Linked DNA regions of Arabidopsis thaliana. The protein of the gene in region 2 purifies or fractionates together with the protein of the main gene of each other region. This does not show direct contact. Each region holds a gene or a part of one and is shown on either strand. Other genes may lie near its edges.

Region 1 (5,305 bases), on a different chromosome or scaffold from region 2:
TCTCCAGGAAAATCATGGAACAATCTTAGTCAAAGGGATACATGTTCGCGTAATTGCATTGGTGTGGTGATCAGGTTATCTCGCCCCACGAGTGATAGGTATTTATTGAGTTTTGAACTCGTGGATTAGTTTTATGACTCATTCTATGCTTTTCTCATCCAATGTTTTATCTTTTGAGATTTTCAGGTGTTTTGGCCTCGTTAGACATTTTGATGAGTATTCAAGAAAGCACTCGGTATTACAATTAGCCAATACTTGTTCCTCACCATCGAACTTGGCAAAATCATTCTCAATTAAGACCTCTCTGTTAACATCTTTAAACTTGGTCCAGGTGATGTTCGAGGATGGTGTTACCGAGTTTGTCGACATGTCGAGAGAAGACTGGGAGATTGTCTAATATTGTTTTCAGGTGATTTATACTCTTCACTCTCTTAATGAAACATTAAAACTCCCAGAAGCATAGAGTATTAAATTACCCTGGCTGCTATGTTTCTGCAGATTGCTTTGAAGTTGAGAAACCAAAATAACCTGTCTTGGTAAACTAAAGGTATCCCAAAAAACCCGGGTCTGACTGACTGGGATTGGTGCAGTGACATTGTTTGTTGCGTCTAACTTGTGACCTGTGTTTGTACAACCATTATAAGAGATATCATATATCTACTTGTGTAACCACATCTGTACTTTCTTCTCCTTCCTTCTTTTTTCATGGGGATCTCAAATGATGATGTCTTGCAAGAACCTTCGTGGTGTGTAATTGACTTTGTAAGAACCGGTAATCTCATATCCGGTTTAGCTTTTAAAAATTTGTATCCAAAGACCGGTTTGTTCTTGTTTGCATGTGCTGTTCTTATTCGTGCATCTGTGTGAGTGTGACTGTGTCGGTGTCGCCGACAAAAGCCGGTGTTTGCAAAATCTGACCAGTTTTGTTTTAGCGATTAACGTTTCAAATTCCTTCAAATGCAAAATGAGTTAAACAAGTGAAAAATTACTAAAACAACATAACAGTTTTAAATTGGAAAAAGTTTTGTAAAGTTTAAAGATACACTGTAAGTGAAAAACGGAAAATTTTAATTAGATTTTTTTTTTTTTTTTTTTTTTTTGGTAAAAGTAGATTATTTTTGTTAAACAAAAGTGATGGATCATTGGTTTTTTGGTAGTAGGTGGGTGATGTGGGTGTGTGGTTCTGGTTCACCAACTCAAAAAGCATAGACTGCAGGGGTTGGGGATTGATAACGACAAATCTAATTGTGGTTGGTAAATCTTTTACTAATCACATTCCTTTAAAATAATTATGTAACTCATCTTGTTTACTAATATCAACTCGACTATCTTAATATCAAATAACTCGGATTCTTCATTTTTTTCACTTTAGAATGGTTTGGTAAATCTCTTGAATAATAAACACTTTAATAAAAATGTTTTTTTTTGTCAAGCATAAAAATGTAACTCATGTTGTCTAACTACATGGATTTTCGCACAAAACAATGATTAAATGTAAATTATGTAATTATACTTTATTTAAAGTATGATTTTGTCTTAAAAATGAAAATAATATAAGGAAGTGGACGGGTAAGGTAAAGTCTAAAATTCACCAAACATTTTGGAATCTCTCTGTTTACTATAAAGCAGTGAGTAGAAGAACCTGAAAGAACTCGCCTTTGTCTCTCATTCTTCTTCTCCATTTCGAAAAGAAGATGAAGGTGATAGATAAGATCCAGTCATTAGCCGACGAAGGCAAAACAGCGTTTTCCTTCGAATTCTTCCCACCAAAGACAGAAGATGGAGTCGACAATCTCTTTGAGAGAATGGATCGAATGGTTGCTTATGGTCCAACGTTTTGCGATATCACTTGGGGAGCTGGTGGATCTACCGCAGATCTAACGCTTGATATAGCTTCGAGGATGCAAAACGTTGTTTGTGTTGAGAGTATGATGCATCTTACGTGTACTAACATGCCTGTTGAGAAGATTGATCATGCTCTTGAGACTATTAGATCTAATGGGATTCAGAATGTGCTTGCTCTTAGAGGTGATCCTCCTCATGGTCAAGATAAGTTTGTTCAGGTTGAAGGTGGTTTTGATTGTGCTTTGGATCTTGTTAATCACATTCGTAGCAAGTATGGTGATTACTTTGGTATCACTGTCGCTGGTTATCCTGGTAATGTCTCGAATTCGAATTTGATTTCTTTGTTTCGTGTGATTTGTAGCTAAAGATTGGATTTTTATGTGTTTTGATATTTCAGAGGCGCATCCTGATGTTATTGGTGAGAATGGTCTTGCGTCTAATGAAGCTTATCAGAGTGATCTTGAGTATCTGAAGAAAAAGGTTTGTTTTGTTTGTTTTTGTTTTGCTTTGTTCTTAAATGTCTGCATCAATTTTTGAATTTGGGTTTGTCTTGGAACAGATTGATGCTGGAGCTGATCTGATTGTTACTCAGCTTTTCTATGATACTGATATATTCCTCAAGTTTGTGAATGATTGTCGGCAAATTGGGATTAGTTGTCCCATTGTTCCTGGAATTATGCCTATTAATAACTACAGAGGCTTTTTGCGTATGACTGGTTTCTGCAAGACTAAGGTAAGTTTTGATCGTTTAGTAAACACCAGTTCCTGCAAATGAATCACCTTTTAGGAGATGAATGATATTGCTTGTTGCCTTTCCATAAAGGTGTTTGTTTGCTAGCTTAGGATATGTTTTTAAAAAAGTGTATTTAAGGTTTCGTGATCAGCTAGATGAAATTGAGATACTTGATTATATTATTGTTTTCAGAGAAAGTGTTTGTTGGATAGCTATTCAAAGAGAATTCTTTATATTAATGTAGATACCAGCTGTGCTTTTTGTGAAAAAAAGATAGATGAATTTACATATGATTATATTAATGTAGATACCAGTTGAGGTGATGGCTGCCTTGGAGCCTATCAAGGATAACGAAGAAGCTGTGAAAGCCTATGGTATTCACCTTGGAACAGAGATGTGTAAAAAGATGTTGGCTCATGGAGTCAAGTCTCTTCATCTCTACACATTGAACATGGAGAAATCTGCTCTTGCAATATTGATGGTTGGTCCTCACTTTTTCTACTTGATGTAAAGCATGATACTGATAGTGGAGTAGCTTTACTATTTTGTTGTTGTTTCAGAATCTTGGTATGATTGATGAGTCCAAAATTTCTCGTTCTTTACCCTGGAGACGCCCTGCAAATGTTTTCCGTACTAAGGAAGATGTGCGCCCCATTTTCTGGTAACAGAGCTTAGTTTCTCTCGTTCTGATTATACTTAGCCACATATTTTACTCTGCAGGGAAAATAAGACTTGTTCTTTCTTCTAATCTTTTGAAGGGCAAACCGTCCAAAGAGCTACATTTCTAGAACCAAGGGCTGGGAAGATTTCCCACAAGGCCGGTGGGGTGATTCACGCAGTGCTTCATATGGTGCACTCTCGGATCATCAGGTACTACAATACATCATCTGTAATTGCACAACTCTCTTTCAAGATTTCATAACAAAGGGGTTTTGAAGGGTATTTCTTCGATTGGTCTTTTTGATTTGCTCTAGATTGTTAAATGTAACATCTTCTTGTGAGCTTGTTTGCTGAACTAAATGCTTTTGTTGTCAGTTCTCACGTCCGCGAGCACGTGACAAGAAGCTTCAACAAGAATGGGTTGTCCCACTGAAAAGTGTTGAAGATATTCAGGAGGTAGAACAATTTTTTCACTACCACACATTTCCCTCACTTTCACCTGTAAAGATGCAGACGCTTACAATAATCTTGCAAAAAAACTGTCACATAACAGAAATTCAAGGAGCTCTGCCTTGGAAACCTTAAAAGCAGTCCCTGGTCTGAATTAGATGGACTCCAGCCAGAGACAAGGATAATAAACGAGCAACTGATAAAAGTCAACTCCAAAGGCTTCTTGACCATCAATAGCCAACCATCAGTCAACGCCGAGAGATCTGATTCCCCAACTGTTGGTGAGGAATCAGTCCTGTTATATCTCTGTTCTCATAGCAAACAGAGTTTTGATTCGTGATTGATCGATACTTGTGCTTGTGTATGATTTGCAGGATGGGGAGGTCCTGTTGGATATGTATACCAAAAGGCTTATCTAGAGTTCTTCTGCTCAAAGGAGAAATTAGATGCAGTGGTGGAGAAATGCAAAGCTTTGCCATCGATTACTTACATGGCTGTGAACAAAGGAGAACAGTGGGTATCGAACACTGCCCAAGCTGATGTGAATGCTGTAACTTGGGGAGTTTTCCCGGCTAAGGAAATCATTCAACCAACCATTGTCGATCCCGCTAGCTTCAACGTCTGGAAGGATGAAGCATTTGAGACTTGGTCAAGAAGCTGGGCTAACTTGTACCCAGAAGCCGACCCTTCCAGAAACTTGCTCGAGGAGGTAAGTTCTATATTTTTCTTGATCTGATCATATTTGTTATTGTTTTTGACAATGGTTTATTTAAAATGACTAATGGACATTTTGATCCAAAAATGCAGGTGAAGAACAGCTACTATTTGGTAAGCTTGGTGGAGAACGATTACATCAATGGTGACATATTCGCGGTGTTTGCTGATCTTTGAGAAAATCAAGAGACAACTACAGTATATCGGTTTCCTACTGCTTTCAAGATTTGCTTTTGTACTTTCTCTAAAATATTGGGATTTTGTTTTTTACATCTGTCTACCATAACAGTATTGATGTGCAAGTAATGTTATTGATAAAAAGGCATCAGTTTCACTACCTTAAAGATCCAAAACCAAACAATTCTTCGGCAAATTTTGTTTGTGTTGATAGTTCAGAGGAAAACTACAAAAAGACACGCAAAAAGATAAAAAGGCTTTAAACTTTTGTTTATAATACTTGCAAATGATATCCAGGAAGAGGAATCTTAGGCTACACATTGGTTTAATGATCATAGTTTGTTCACATTGGGGAGCGGGAACAGTGGTTTTAACAAAACTAAAGAATAAGCCCAAGTTCTGATGGCTTCAATGCATTTCTCAAACGGTAATTGTAGAGATAGTAGTGCGACTGTCGACATAGTGGATAAAACCTCAACTCTTTCAAGAAACTCTCATTCTGCATCACATCCGAGGCATAAAACACATCGAAACCTTTTTGCTTAGAGACTATTAGGGCATCATTCACCAGCTGGGATAACGAGGTCAGTGTCGCTACATTGCAGCAAGCATAAGCACATTCCAGGGTCGTGTATTTCCGGTTACCGGGGATAGTTATAGAGGAATTGCAGAAGCTGCAGAAGTCAGTGACATCATGAGTTTCAGGGCTTACTACTACGTAACTGT
Region 2 (5,596 bases):
TAAATAGAAAACTTGTATCGAAATTTATTAAGAAATATAATAAATATTCAAAATTAGTATAATTTTTTGTCTGTTACAAAAGGAAAAATATATTTATCTGATAAACCTTTTAATAAAAAGTATTTTTTTCATACTTGTGATCAATTTTATGTTGATATTTTATTCTAAGAATATACTGTATATGAATTTAATAATTAACAACTACTTCCTTTGTTTCATATTAGTTTAAGGTTTTTATACACATATTAAAAAAATCATGAAAGTCTCATTTAATCTACCTCTTTTATATAAAAATATTATTAATTAAATATAATTGATTAAAATATTAAATATTTATTATTTGTATAGAAAGTTGAAAACAACACTTATTTTGAAAAAAATAAAAACTCTTAAACTACATTTATATAGAAACAGAGTATATATTTAAACAACTGAAAAGTTTTTAATTAATTATTGAGTTTTAACTCTTAATTACTTTAAGATATATATTTTCTAATTTTCGTTGCATTTTTCAGTTTCATGTTTGTTTTCAGTTTCAATAGAAATCTTGCAAAACCAAAATGAACACACAAGTCTCAGTGTAACAACAGCTATGTGATGAATAAACAACAATGAAAAATTTATTAGAAGTATCACAATCCGTTACTCAAATTACAAACCATGACCTTAATTATTACTATTGTAACTTTATAGAGTCTATTTCTTTTGTTTGAGCATTTATGATGCTGAAACCACACTCCAGAGATCAGATCCAGGCAGGCTTATTTAGAGCAGTGACGACTGCCTTGATCTGCAAGTAATTATTGAGACTGTATATGCCTTTCTCTCTCCCATTCCCACTCATCTTGTAACCACCAAATGGTATGGCTGCATCAAATACGTCGAAGCAGTTAACCCATACGGTACCAGCTTTCAAAGCCCTTGAAACCCTGTTTGCCGTGTCCAGATTCTTCGTGAAAACCCCTGCCGCTAGCCCGTACTTCGTCTCGTTCGCCCTCTTTATCACCTCATCCACATCACTGAACCCAACATCATAACCAGTGTTAAACCAAATCTATCATGGTTTCTGTTTTTTAATTGAATACATTTATCTTTAAAAAAAGTTTAGGTTTGGTTGGTTCGAAATTAGTTTCAGTTTACCAAATCTCTAACAACTCAGCCATTTTTACCAAATTGTGACTTATTTGTCTACTGGATCAGTTTTATTGGTAGCTCTATATACCTGAACTTCAAGATCGATTGGACTGGACCGAAAATCTCGTCTTGAGCGATAAGCATGTCATCCTGTAGTTGAACCAAGCGTTCGAGATTAATGCCATGGAGAATCGGTAATAGAAGAACATTAAAGATGTCTTAGAAGAGTTTTCTTTTTACCTTAACATTAGAGAAGACAGTAGGTTGGATGAAGTAACCTTTGTCTCCAATCTGATCACCACCACATTCAAGAGTAGCATTGCTTTCGATACCTGACTTTATGTACTTCATCACTTTCTCAAATTGCTTCAAATCGATCTATACAAAGTTTTTGTGAAAACGGAAATCACAAAACCAATCAACAAAGTAGAAAAGCTAAACTCTTCTTAATGGAAGGAAGGAATGTGTATGTGTTACCTGAGGACCCTGTTCAATGCCTTTCCTGAAAGGATCACCAACAACACGTTTCAATGCGCGTGCCTTTGATTTCTCAACAAACTCATCATACACTTTCTCATGAACAAATGTCCGAGACCCCGCGCAGCAACATTGCCCCTACAAAAACATTACTCAACATTATCTCAAGAACTAGCTAGGAAAATGAGTCAGCTTAGCTCAAGGTGAATATATTCTACTATTGACAAAACCTGGTTGAAGAAGAGGGCAAAGTGTGCAAGCTCTACAGCTTTATCAATATCAGCATCTTCGAATACGATGAACGGTGATTTCCCTCCAAGTTCCAGAGTTACGGGCTTAAGATTGCTGTTAGCAGCCAATCCAAGTATAACTTTCCCCGTATCAGTCGATCCTGTAAAAGCAAGCTGAAGCAAAAAGAAGAATGTAAGATAATTTAGTTTCTTAAAGAAGTTAGCAGCAAGTAAATAAATATATCTACCTTGTCTACATCCATATGACTCGCGAGGGCAGCACCTGCTGTTGCACCGAATCCCGAAACAATATTCAGAACACCAGGAGGAAGACCCGCCTATCATAAATTTCACAAGAAACATTGTTACTCATCAAAGTTTTTCTTTTCCTAGAGAAGACAATAGGAGAATCTATCGGATGTATCTTACTTCAAGGAAAAGCTTTCCAGCATAGAAAGCCGTGAGAGGTGTTTGCTCAGCGGTTTTGAGGACAATGGTGTTACCACAAGCAAGAGCAGGACCAACTTTCCAAGCAAACATCAAAAGTGGAAAATTCCACGGTATGATCTGTCCAGCTACACCTATCGGTTCATGTAATGTGTGAACTTGATAGTTTCCATCAGCTGGAATTGTTAGTCCATGAATCTTATCCGCCCATCCTACACATCAAAGCAAAACCAAGAATGTTCATTCACAGAAAGTAACACCAAAAGCACCAGAATTCTCAAGATTTAAGTTCGTTTTATGATACCAGCATAGTAACGGAACAATCTTGCAAACATGGGAATCTCTGCGGTCAAGGATTGTTGGTAAGGCTTGCCATTGTCCCATGTCTCTAGAGACGCGAGCTCTTCGCTGTGTTTCTCAACCAAATCTGCAAACCTCAACAAAACTCTTGACCTTTCCTGAAACCCAAAACAATAACCATATGTGACCATCCATATCACATTAAAGTTCATAAAACTGAAGACTCAAGAAGAGTAGTAATATACATACATAAGCACTCATTTTAGGCCAAGGTCCTTCATCAAAGGCCGTCCTTGCAGCTTTCACAGCTCGATTGATATCTTCAGCATCGCCTTCAGCTACATGAGCAATGACTTCGCCTGTCCTCGGATCAAGAGTCGGAAACGTCTTACCTAAATCCCCAAATCCAAATATCAATACTCAAAAAACTTTGCTTTTTTCTACCAATTCCTCTACGTGGGAGACAAATAAAAATGAAAACTTTAATCACCAGAAGCAGAGTCAACAAAGTTCCCATTGATGAGGAGCTGTGTGTGAGAAACTTGAACAGATGGGTTTATGATTTCCTCAGCAGCAGCAGAAGAGGTTCCAAATCTCCTTAAGATCCCTCCATTGTAACAATTTCTCCCTGAAAATTATCATCTTTACACATCACAACCTAGATTCGACATAGACCCACAAATCAAAGAATCTAACTTTCAGTCTATTTCATTGGACATAACGTTAATTTTGTAGAATTCAGCATAAGTTTAGTGATAAAGTAGAAACATGGAGATACAGTGGAAAATTCACTGATTCAGCAGAGAGATCGAACAGTGGTTTGTTTGTTTGTGTGTGAGATACCTTGAGAACGAAACAGTAAGGGAGAGGAAGCTGAAAAAGATCGAGATAAAAGAGAAGACACTCTACGAGCCGCCATGGATGAAACAAGTTTCAAGCTTTAAGCTTCAAAACGTCAAAGTTCTTATCTTTTATTCTTCGAATTCTCCTCCTCTTCTCTCTCTCTCTCTGTTTGATGGGATTTATAATTTGATTTGAAGGAGAAAGAATCCAACGGTTGAGATCTCCGGATATCTCTAACACATGTCGCTTAACTTACACTCTCTTGGTTTGTGTTGCCGTACTTTGAATGGCTCTATTTGACTAGACTGATTTGTCCGTTTCCTAATATCAAAGACAAAAGAAGCGATTTTTATTGCATAAGAGAAAAAAGAAATGTTTTTCTTTTTCCCTCTTAGAAAAATGAGATTCGGGAAAAAATAATTAAAATAAATTAGTAAGACAACAAACAACGTTGACAAATAAAAAACTAAAAGATAAGACAAAAAGTTGTCTTGCCGTGATCTCTGATTTTTTGGTATGTGTATCCATATGATTCAGACTCAATATGTTTTTTCTTTTTTCTTTCATATTAGATTTAGATCCAACTACAAATTAAAATTAATTAATTGTGGATATCATTTTTTGTGGCAATGTGGAAAAATTATAATGAAAATAAAGGAAATATCTATATAAATGCAAAAGTTGCTAGTTATGGTGTGAAGTCGTTTTCTAAGCGGTAGTTGTGTCATCTATTTGGTATGTTTTTCATCTTTTCTTGTAAATATAGGTTACTTTGCGGATTGTGATGTTTGTCCCTTGAAATCTTTCGACAAATAAAGAAAAAAAATCATCTGCTATTAATAAGAAGATTTAATTCGTACCATTTGAATACAATGAGAAAATTCTACTGCTCCAAAAGGTTACTAATCAAGAAAATGATTAAAGTTGAGAAAAAGGTGGTTTTTTTCTATGTGCTTTTTACAATATTATTTTCAGATTTCATTCTATATTCACATATTCATCTTTAAAATTAAATTATGGCATAAATGACAAATATATGGTTTTTGACACGATTGCGAGATTTAATCAGTTTATATATTAAAAATATCAAGCAATAAACTGAAAGGGATTACATATTTTTTTTGGTTTGCACAAAATCATGTAGACGAAGAAAAATACAAGTTGAAGTGTGTAATCAAAAATCATTTTCGTCCAATCAAATAGTGGAATGAGTCTATGACTATATCCTTTATTTTTCTTTTATAAGTGTCATTCTCATTATTTTTGACCAAAATATGGTCATTGCCCAAATTCAATTTATAATTAATTAATTTTTTAATTCACCTAAATTATGTGAAAACATAATTAGACTTAAACACAAGGTGTTTTATGAGTTTCAAAGCCCACTTTGTGTACCAATAAATGCTGTAGGAGCCAAGAGTGCGTTGGATAGAAATCGACATAATATCGACCGACGTCAAGTCACAATTACTTCAATCTGTAATAATGTTTCTTTGTATACCTGACTATTGGTTACAGCAAATCAAGTTAGTGTCAGAAATCCTAAATGCATTTGTCACAACAACTATCAGAAGAATCCTGGATCCTCTGGTTTAAACATTTTAGGCATCTTCAAAGTTGGATGATCAGGATCAATTCTTGTAGATCCTCTTTGGTTCCCTAAAACACCTCTCTTAGTATTAGCTGCGAACTTAGACGCTAATATTGTTGCACTCAAATTTTGATTATTGCTGCTGTTTTCGTCTCCGTTGTTATTATTACTTTCAGGCATGTCCTCTTCGAATTGATAGTCTCCATCATCGTCATAGAAGTAATCGTCTTCTTCCTCTTGCCTAGCTAACTCCATTGCTAATTTCCTCTTCATGTATCGCCTCCAAGCAGCTTGTATAAAACAAGTTCCCCATGCTCTCCATTGATGCGAATAGTATCTGGTTACAGTCAAAACATAAAGATCAAGAAACCTTATAGCGTGTGAAGCAAGAAACCTATATTGCTTATGAGACCATACGAGGATTACCTGAAAGCATGTTGGAGTTTCTTGCTGTGAAGACGTCTGAATTGGTTAGCTACGAATTTCAAGTCCTCTGCTCGGAGAGCGAAAGCTTCTACTTCGGAGAGAGTCCTTACGGTTCTCGTGGACAATGGTAGATTATGATTAATGTTTG
Region 3 (5,799 bases), 4.4 Mb from region 2:
TTTGGTTCTGTGCAGGGTGCATCAGTGGTGGTGCTGGCTAATCTGAAGCCGAGGAATATGAGAGGGGTTAAGTCATGTGGTATGCTTTTAGCTGCATCTGACGCAGCTCATGAAAATGTTGAGCTTCTTGTTCCACCAGAAGGCTCTGTTCCTGGAGATAGAGTTTGGTTTGGTAACGAAGAAGATCTCGAGCAGCTTCCTGAACCTGCACCTCCTAATAAGGTCATTTAGCCTGCAAAGCACTAATCATTTCAGTACTGCAAGACTTAAGTCATGGCATATTCAAGTTCTGTGTTTTCTTTGTTGTTTCAGGTTCAAAAGAAGAAGATGTGGGAATTGGTGCAACCACTTTTGAAGACAGATGCGTCTGGTGTTTCAATGCTTAAGGAGCATTTGATGCGGACATCTTCTGGTCTTGTTACTTCCAAGTCTTTAAGAAATGCCAACATTTCTTGATTTCTGTTAAAAGCTATTTTGTGATGTTGTTTTGACACAAGAGAGAAAGAACAAACCGCTAAGGCGATTTTTTTCATTGCAATCAAACTGATGTTTTTGTTGATTCATCAAAGTAAGGTTATTACGAATCAAAAATAACTTTAAAAGGTACAAAACAAATCTCGAAATCGAATGTTTCCTCTTCGCCGGTGGTTTTCTCGGAGATCAAGCAAAGACAGAGAAGATATCACCATTGATGTAATTGTTGTCCACTAAGCTTACCAAATAGTAGCTGTTCTTCACCTGCATATTCGATTGGATCATACCATCATCATTACAGCTAAACCAATCTGGTCACTGAAAAGAAGAGAAGAAAAAAGAAGAAGATTCTTTACCTCCTCGAGCAACTTTCTAGAAGGGTCATCTTCTGGGTACAAGTTAGCCCAGCTTCTTGACCAAATCTCAAACGCTTCGTCTTTCCAGACTTTGAAACTGGCTGGATCCACGATCGTCGGTTGAATAACCTCCTTAGCTGGGAACACTCCCCAAGTAACTGCATTCACATCGGACTCACCGGTGTTTGATACCCAATTCTCTGATTTGTTCACGGCCATGTAGGTGATAGAAGGAAAAGCTTTGGATTTCTCCACAAGTGTGTCTAACTTATCCTTTGAACAGAAGAACTCCAGATAAGCTTTCTGGTAGACGTAACCACCAGGACCACCCCATCCTGCAAAGTATCAATTGCAATTATACATTTTTGTTATAAGCCAAGTAGATATTCCCAATGCAATTTAAACATTATGTTATAAGCTAAGACAGAAGCTCTAGAGGGTTTAAATAGGTTTTTAAGAAATGACAGATGAATCACAAGTCAAATAAGATTTTTTTTTTTGGAACGTTATGGTATGCTTTGTGATCACAAGTTTGAGTTTTCTTACCAATAGCTGGAGAATCGGATTTGGCTGCATTGACTGATGGTTGGCTATTAATGGTCAGGAAACCGTTGGAGTTGATTTTTCCGAGTTGCTCATTTATGATCTTTGTCTCTGGCTGGAGTCCATCTAATTCAGACCATGGGCTGCTTTTTAAGTTTCCAATGCAGAGCTCTTTGAATTTCTGATTTGTGACAGTTTTTACATGAAAATGTGCAAGTGAGTATGAGGGAAAGAGATCGAAACAATTTGTACGAGTGTCCGTAAAGTAAAGCCTACCTCTTGAACATCTTCAATGCTTTTCAGTGGGACGACCCATTCTTGCTGAAGCTTCTTGTCACGTCCTTTTGGGCGCGCAAACTATCAACACATGCATTTATATCAGCACTACTCATTGGCAATGAAAAACGCAGAAGAGATGGCAAGCAAAGCAAGCAGCTTCTTACAAGTGATAATGGTAGGGCTAAATAACAATATGCAAATACAATTTAAGCAAATTGAGAAGGCAAACTGAAAACAAGCCTTTCAGAATTCAAGTTTTCAAAATATAAAGTCGATATGTCAGAAAACTGATAAATATGTGGTACGTACCTGATAATCCGAAAGTGTACTGTATGCTGCACTGTGTGAATCACCCCAACGTCCATGTGGGAAGTCATTCCAGCCCTTTGTTCTAGATATGTAGCTCTTTGGACGGTTTGCCCTGCAAAGATAAAAAATGAAGTAACAGTATTATTCCTCCGCAAATATATCTTAAAGTTAAAGATCTGTAATAATACTCCGAGCAAGAGAAACAAAATGCAGGTTACCAGAAAATTGGGCGAACATCTTCCTTAGTACGGAAAACATTTGCAGGGCGTCTCCAAGGTAGAGAACGAGAAATTTTTGACTCATCAATCAGACCAAGGTTCTGCAATTTGAGCACCACTGTTAGGTTCTCCGGTATACACAATACCATGTGTTAAATATTACTACACAGAAACCAATTTAGAAGGAAATGAGAAGAAAACCATTAATATCCCAATAGCTGATTTGTCCACGTTCAATGTGTAGAGATGAAGGGAAGTGATTCCATGGGCCAAAATCTTTTTGCACATTTCTGTTGCAAAGTGAATTCCATAGGCTTTAACAGCCTCGTCATTATCCTTAATAGGCTCTAAGGCAGCAGTGAGCTCAGCGGGTATCTATGCAATAATAGAATCATGAGTGGAATATAAATCAAAGAAAAATGATATCTGAACACATTAGTCATAAGGCATCATCACCAAGGGTCTATATATATATCACCAAGCAACTAGATAGATGCAGTAAACTCAATCTCATCTTAAAGCCTTTAAGCACAAAGACGACATGTGTCTACAGAGCAAGCCATATCATCACACAGATGAAAGAGATCACAACATACCTTGGTCTTACAGAAACCAGCCATACGCAAGAACCCCTTGTAGTTGGAAATAGGCATAATTCCAGGAACAATGGGACAATTAATCCCGATTTGCCGACAATCATTCACAAACTTGAGGAATATATCAGTATCATAGAAAAGCTGAGTCACAATCAAATCTGCTCCAGCATCAACCTGTACCACAAGCCACAATCCACTAAACCCATCAAATCAAGACAACACAAACAATTCAACACACAAAATTCAAAACCAAGACACAAATCTGAACCTTTTTCTTCAAGTAAGCAAGATCACTCTGATAAGATTCAGGAGTAGCAAGTCCATCAGCTTCAATAACATCCGGATGAGCCTCTGATTCATAACACACAAATCCCCAATTAGAGATCAAAATCACAACAACGAAACCAACAATGAAATTGATTAAAAGGGAGCATTTTGATTACCAGGATAACCAGCAACAGTGATTCCAAAGTAATCACCATACTTGCTACGAATGTGATTCACCAGATCCAAAGCACAAGCAAATCCTCCTTCAACCTGAACAAACTTATCTTGTCCATGAGGAGGATCTCCTCTAAGAGCAAGCACATTCTGAATTCCATTAGATCTAATCGTCTCAAGCGCGTGATCAATCTTCTCAATCGGCATGTTGGTACAAGTGAGATGCATCATAGTCTCGACGCAGATAACATTCTGCATCCTAGAAGCAATCTCGAGAGTGAGATCAGCTGTGGATCCACCAGCACCCCAAGTGATATCGCAGAAGGTAGGTCCATAAGAGACCAATCGATCCATTCGTTCAAAGAGATTCTCGACGCCATCTTCTGTCTTCGGTGGGAAAAACTCGAAGGAGAAAGCTGTTTGGCCTTGCTCCGTCACGGATTTGATCTTATCAACCACCTTCATCGTTGAATCGAAATGAGATCCAAATCCAAATCCAGATTCGGAATTAGATAGGTAGAGGAAGTGGTGGTGGAGAGGCAAGTTTGGTCTCTCTGGTTTGTTTACTCACTCATTTATACTAATCTCTAAAAATGAAGATAGAGATCCAACAACTTTGGTGGTAACTGGTAACCGGTAAAAACTTTAGATAAAAAATTATATTATCAACATTGTTGTTTTTCTACACATCTATTTTGAATTTTCCTTTTTCTAATTACATAATATTTATCAATGTAAATATATTTTCAACAAAGAAATCCAAATTTAGCACAGCATTTCTGTTATCACGTTTTTTTTCTCACATTGCTATCACTTTTTATTGTGCTAAATACATATTTCCTCACTTTTGGAATTTATCTTTTCCATAATAGTAATTTTATCCTTTTCCTTTACAAAAAACTAGTTTTTATATTTTTCTTATTTTCCAACTAAACATAAGAAAAAGAAAATTTAGTTAGGTAGGTGAGCTACGACCCCACATTACCTACCACCGGTAACGGCAAATCCACTGTCGGTCACCGGCGCGTGGGTATCATCCGCTACAACGGACAGTAGGCTAGTGATATAGCAGCATTGCCAAGGAGAATCACGTGCTTAACAAACTCGAGTTATAGACAGAGCAAACCGGGTATGAGATTTTTTGTCTCTTAAATAACCAAAACCCCGGTTTAAAATCCAAAAACACTTTTCTTTATTTGGTCCAAAGATTCCACATACAGTGTAATGTACTACTGAACTACTGATTCAAGTTGGATACATACAACAACAAAGTCTAAACCTATTTGCCAACCGACACGGTTTGGTTGGTTACAAAATTTCTTGACAATTCAAGTGTAATCCTATGTAAGGGAATGAAATCAGACTTGGAACAGTCACAATATCAAGCAGTTACAACCTTCCAAACTTCTCTGCACATGTCGATGATCTCGGTAACACCATCCTCATACATGACCTGGACAAAGTCAATGTTCATTCTTTAGATTTCGTAAACTGAGATAGAATGTGAACAACAGTGTTGGCAATAAGTCAAATGAATAGATACCAAGTGCTTATTTAAAACTCATCATATTGTGTAATGATTCCAAAACACCTGAAAAATGTCAACTACTAGAGTCAAAACCTTCATCTGAGCCGTGTAATACTGTTCTTTGGTGTGGAAGAAATTGGTTTTTGAGAAAAAAAGAAAGATAGTTATACTTTTGGTTCATGGGACGTGCTAACCAGATCACCGCACCAATGCAGTCCCGGCAACATATTTTCCTCTGGCTATGATTGTTCCAAGCTTGTCCTGACGCATCCAAATTGGTTTCTCTTACCTCTGAATTGAGAAGCTTGTCGATAATCGAGCCAAATAATTAATACTAACCAGCAATGCGTCTCCCTCGAGTTTTTCCCTAACCATATGTTTGAAAGGACAAGTTACTGTTTAGCAATCACAGGATGACTAAAAAAAAGTAAGGCAAAGCTCAAATTTACCTTGGGCGTTTTCCAGGTCACTTTACATGCCACTGGCTTCACAGCTTCTTCTAAGGTTGTGTTCTTAGTTTTGCAAGGTTTTGCACCTAGCTTTTTTCTGCAACACACTGCACCACAGTAGCAATCTTGATCTGCACCAAACTGAACAAACCTGCTATATTTATTAGTATCACACAACTAAACATTTACATTCAAATACTTTATTGTTGTGATGCAAGGAAATGTTCTTACTGGTAATCGTAAGTCAACTGCTCGCCTTTGTTTATGAAACGGGTAGCAAAAATGCCGATTCTTGTCTCGCCATCAATTATCCTAAATGGGAACAAAAAGGTTCATGATCTATAACTTTGCTCAATTGTTTTGAACAGAAGAAAAGTGAGAAGATGGATAATAAGTTACAAACGAACCATTTCTGCATCTCTGTGTTAGGACTGCAGCTGTGATTGATGTATCTTGATTTATTACCCTTGTGAGTAGCATCAATCACCATGTTCCAGTTTATCTGACACAAATAGAAATTTGTCTCGACCTTATGATTCAGCTTCCAAAGCCTTTCTTCACAAATCTTGTCGTCAATAACTACAATAAGAAATGGATATAAGAAGA

The links.
Region 1: the proteins of ALDH2B4 (region 2) and MTHFR2 fractionate together in Arabidopsis thaliana (co-fractionation; one large-scale study listed by BioGRID). This does not show direct contact.
Region 3: the proteins of ALDH2B4 (region 2) and MTHFR1 fractionate together in Arabidopsis thaliana (co-fractionation; one large-scale study listed by BioGRID). This does not show direct contact.

What each region holds. Positions count from the first base shown.
Region 1 is NC_003071.7:18,260,607-18,265,911, forward strand, and holds MTHFR2 (methylenetetrahydrofolate reductase 2), read left to right. Parts: upstream 1-1,582; 5' UTR 1,583-1,694; coding exon 1,695-2,157; intron 2,158-2,242; coding exon 2,243-2,325; intron 2,326-2,404; coding exon 2,405-2,578; intron 2,579-2,885; coding exon 2,886-3,059; intron 3,060-3,138; coding exon 3,139-3,239; intron 3,240-3,336; coding exon 3,337-3,448; intron 3,449-3,613; coding exon 3,614-3,694; intron 3,695-3,791; coding exon 3,792-3,969; intron 3,970-4,062; coding exon 4,063-4,397; intron 4,398-4,495; coding exon 4,496-4,579; 3' UTR 4,580-4,740; downstream 4,741-5,305. Other genes in the region: histone-lysine N-methyltransferase ASHH3, read left to right, coding at 8-98, 187-235, 332-397.
Region 2 is NC_003074.8:17,716,337-17,721,932, forward strand, and holds ALDH2B4 (aldehyde dehydrogenase 2B4), read right to left. Parts: upstream 3,834-5,596; 5' UTR 3,508-3,833; coding exon 3,432-3,507; intron 3,217-3,431; coding exon 3,079-3,216; intron 2,981-3,078; coding exon 2,838-2,980; intron 2,747-2,837; coding exon 2,593-2,746; intron 2,501-2,592; coding exon 2,271-2,500; intron 2,180-2,270; coding exon 2,090-2,179; intron 2,016-2,089; coding exon 1,842-2,015; intron 1,750-1,841; coding exon 1,612-1,749; intron 1,513-1,611; coding exon 1,375-1,512; intron 1,285-1,374; coding exon 1,223-1,284; intron 1,020-1,222; coding exon 746-1,019; 3' UTR 528-745; downstream 1-527. Other genes in the region: CNGC16 (cyclic nucleotide-gated channel 16), read right to left, coding at 4,999-5,359, 5,449-5,596. UniProt on the Arabidopsis thaliana protein: Possesses activity on acetaldehyde and glycolaldehyde in vitro.
Region 3 is NC_003074.8:22,149,185-22,154,983, reverse strand, and holds MTHFR1 (methylenetetrahydrofolate reductase 1), read right to left. Parts: upstream 3,821-5,799; 5' UTR 3,682-3,820; coding exon 3,219-3,681; intron 3,127-3,218; coding exon 3,044-3,126; intron 2,950-3,043; coding exon 2,776-2,949; exon of another isoform or gene 2,555-2,775; coding exon 2,381-2,554; intron 2,281-2,380; coding exon 2,180-2,280; intron 2,074-2,179; coding exon 1,962-2,073; intron 1,731-1,961; coding exon 1,650-1,730; coding exon of another isoform or gene 1,572-1,649; exon of another isoform or gene 1,555-1,571; coding exon 1,377-1,554; intron 1,166-1,376; coding exon 831-1,165; intron 741-830; exon of another isoform or gene 739-740; coding exon 661-738; 3' UTR 501-660; downstream 1-500. Other genes in the region: AT3G59980 (Nucleic acid-binding, OB-fold-like protein), read left to right, coding at 16-222, 313-456; histone-lysine N-methyltransferase ASHH4, read right to left, coding at 4,771-4,807, 4,915-5,005, 5,084-5,111, 5,194-5,344, 5,425-5,505, 5,601-5,772. UniProt on the Arabidopsis thaliana protein: The probable reversibility of the MTHFR reaction in plants suggests that they can metabolize the methyl group of 5,10-methylenetetrahydrofolate to serine, sugars and starch.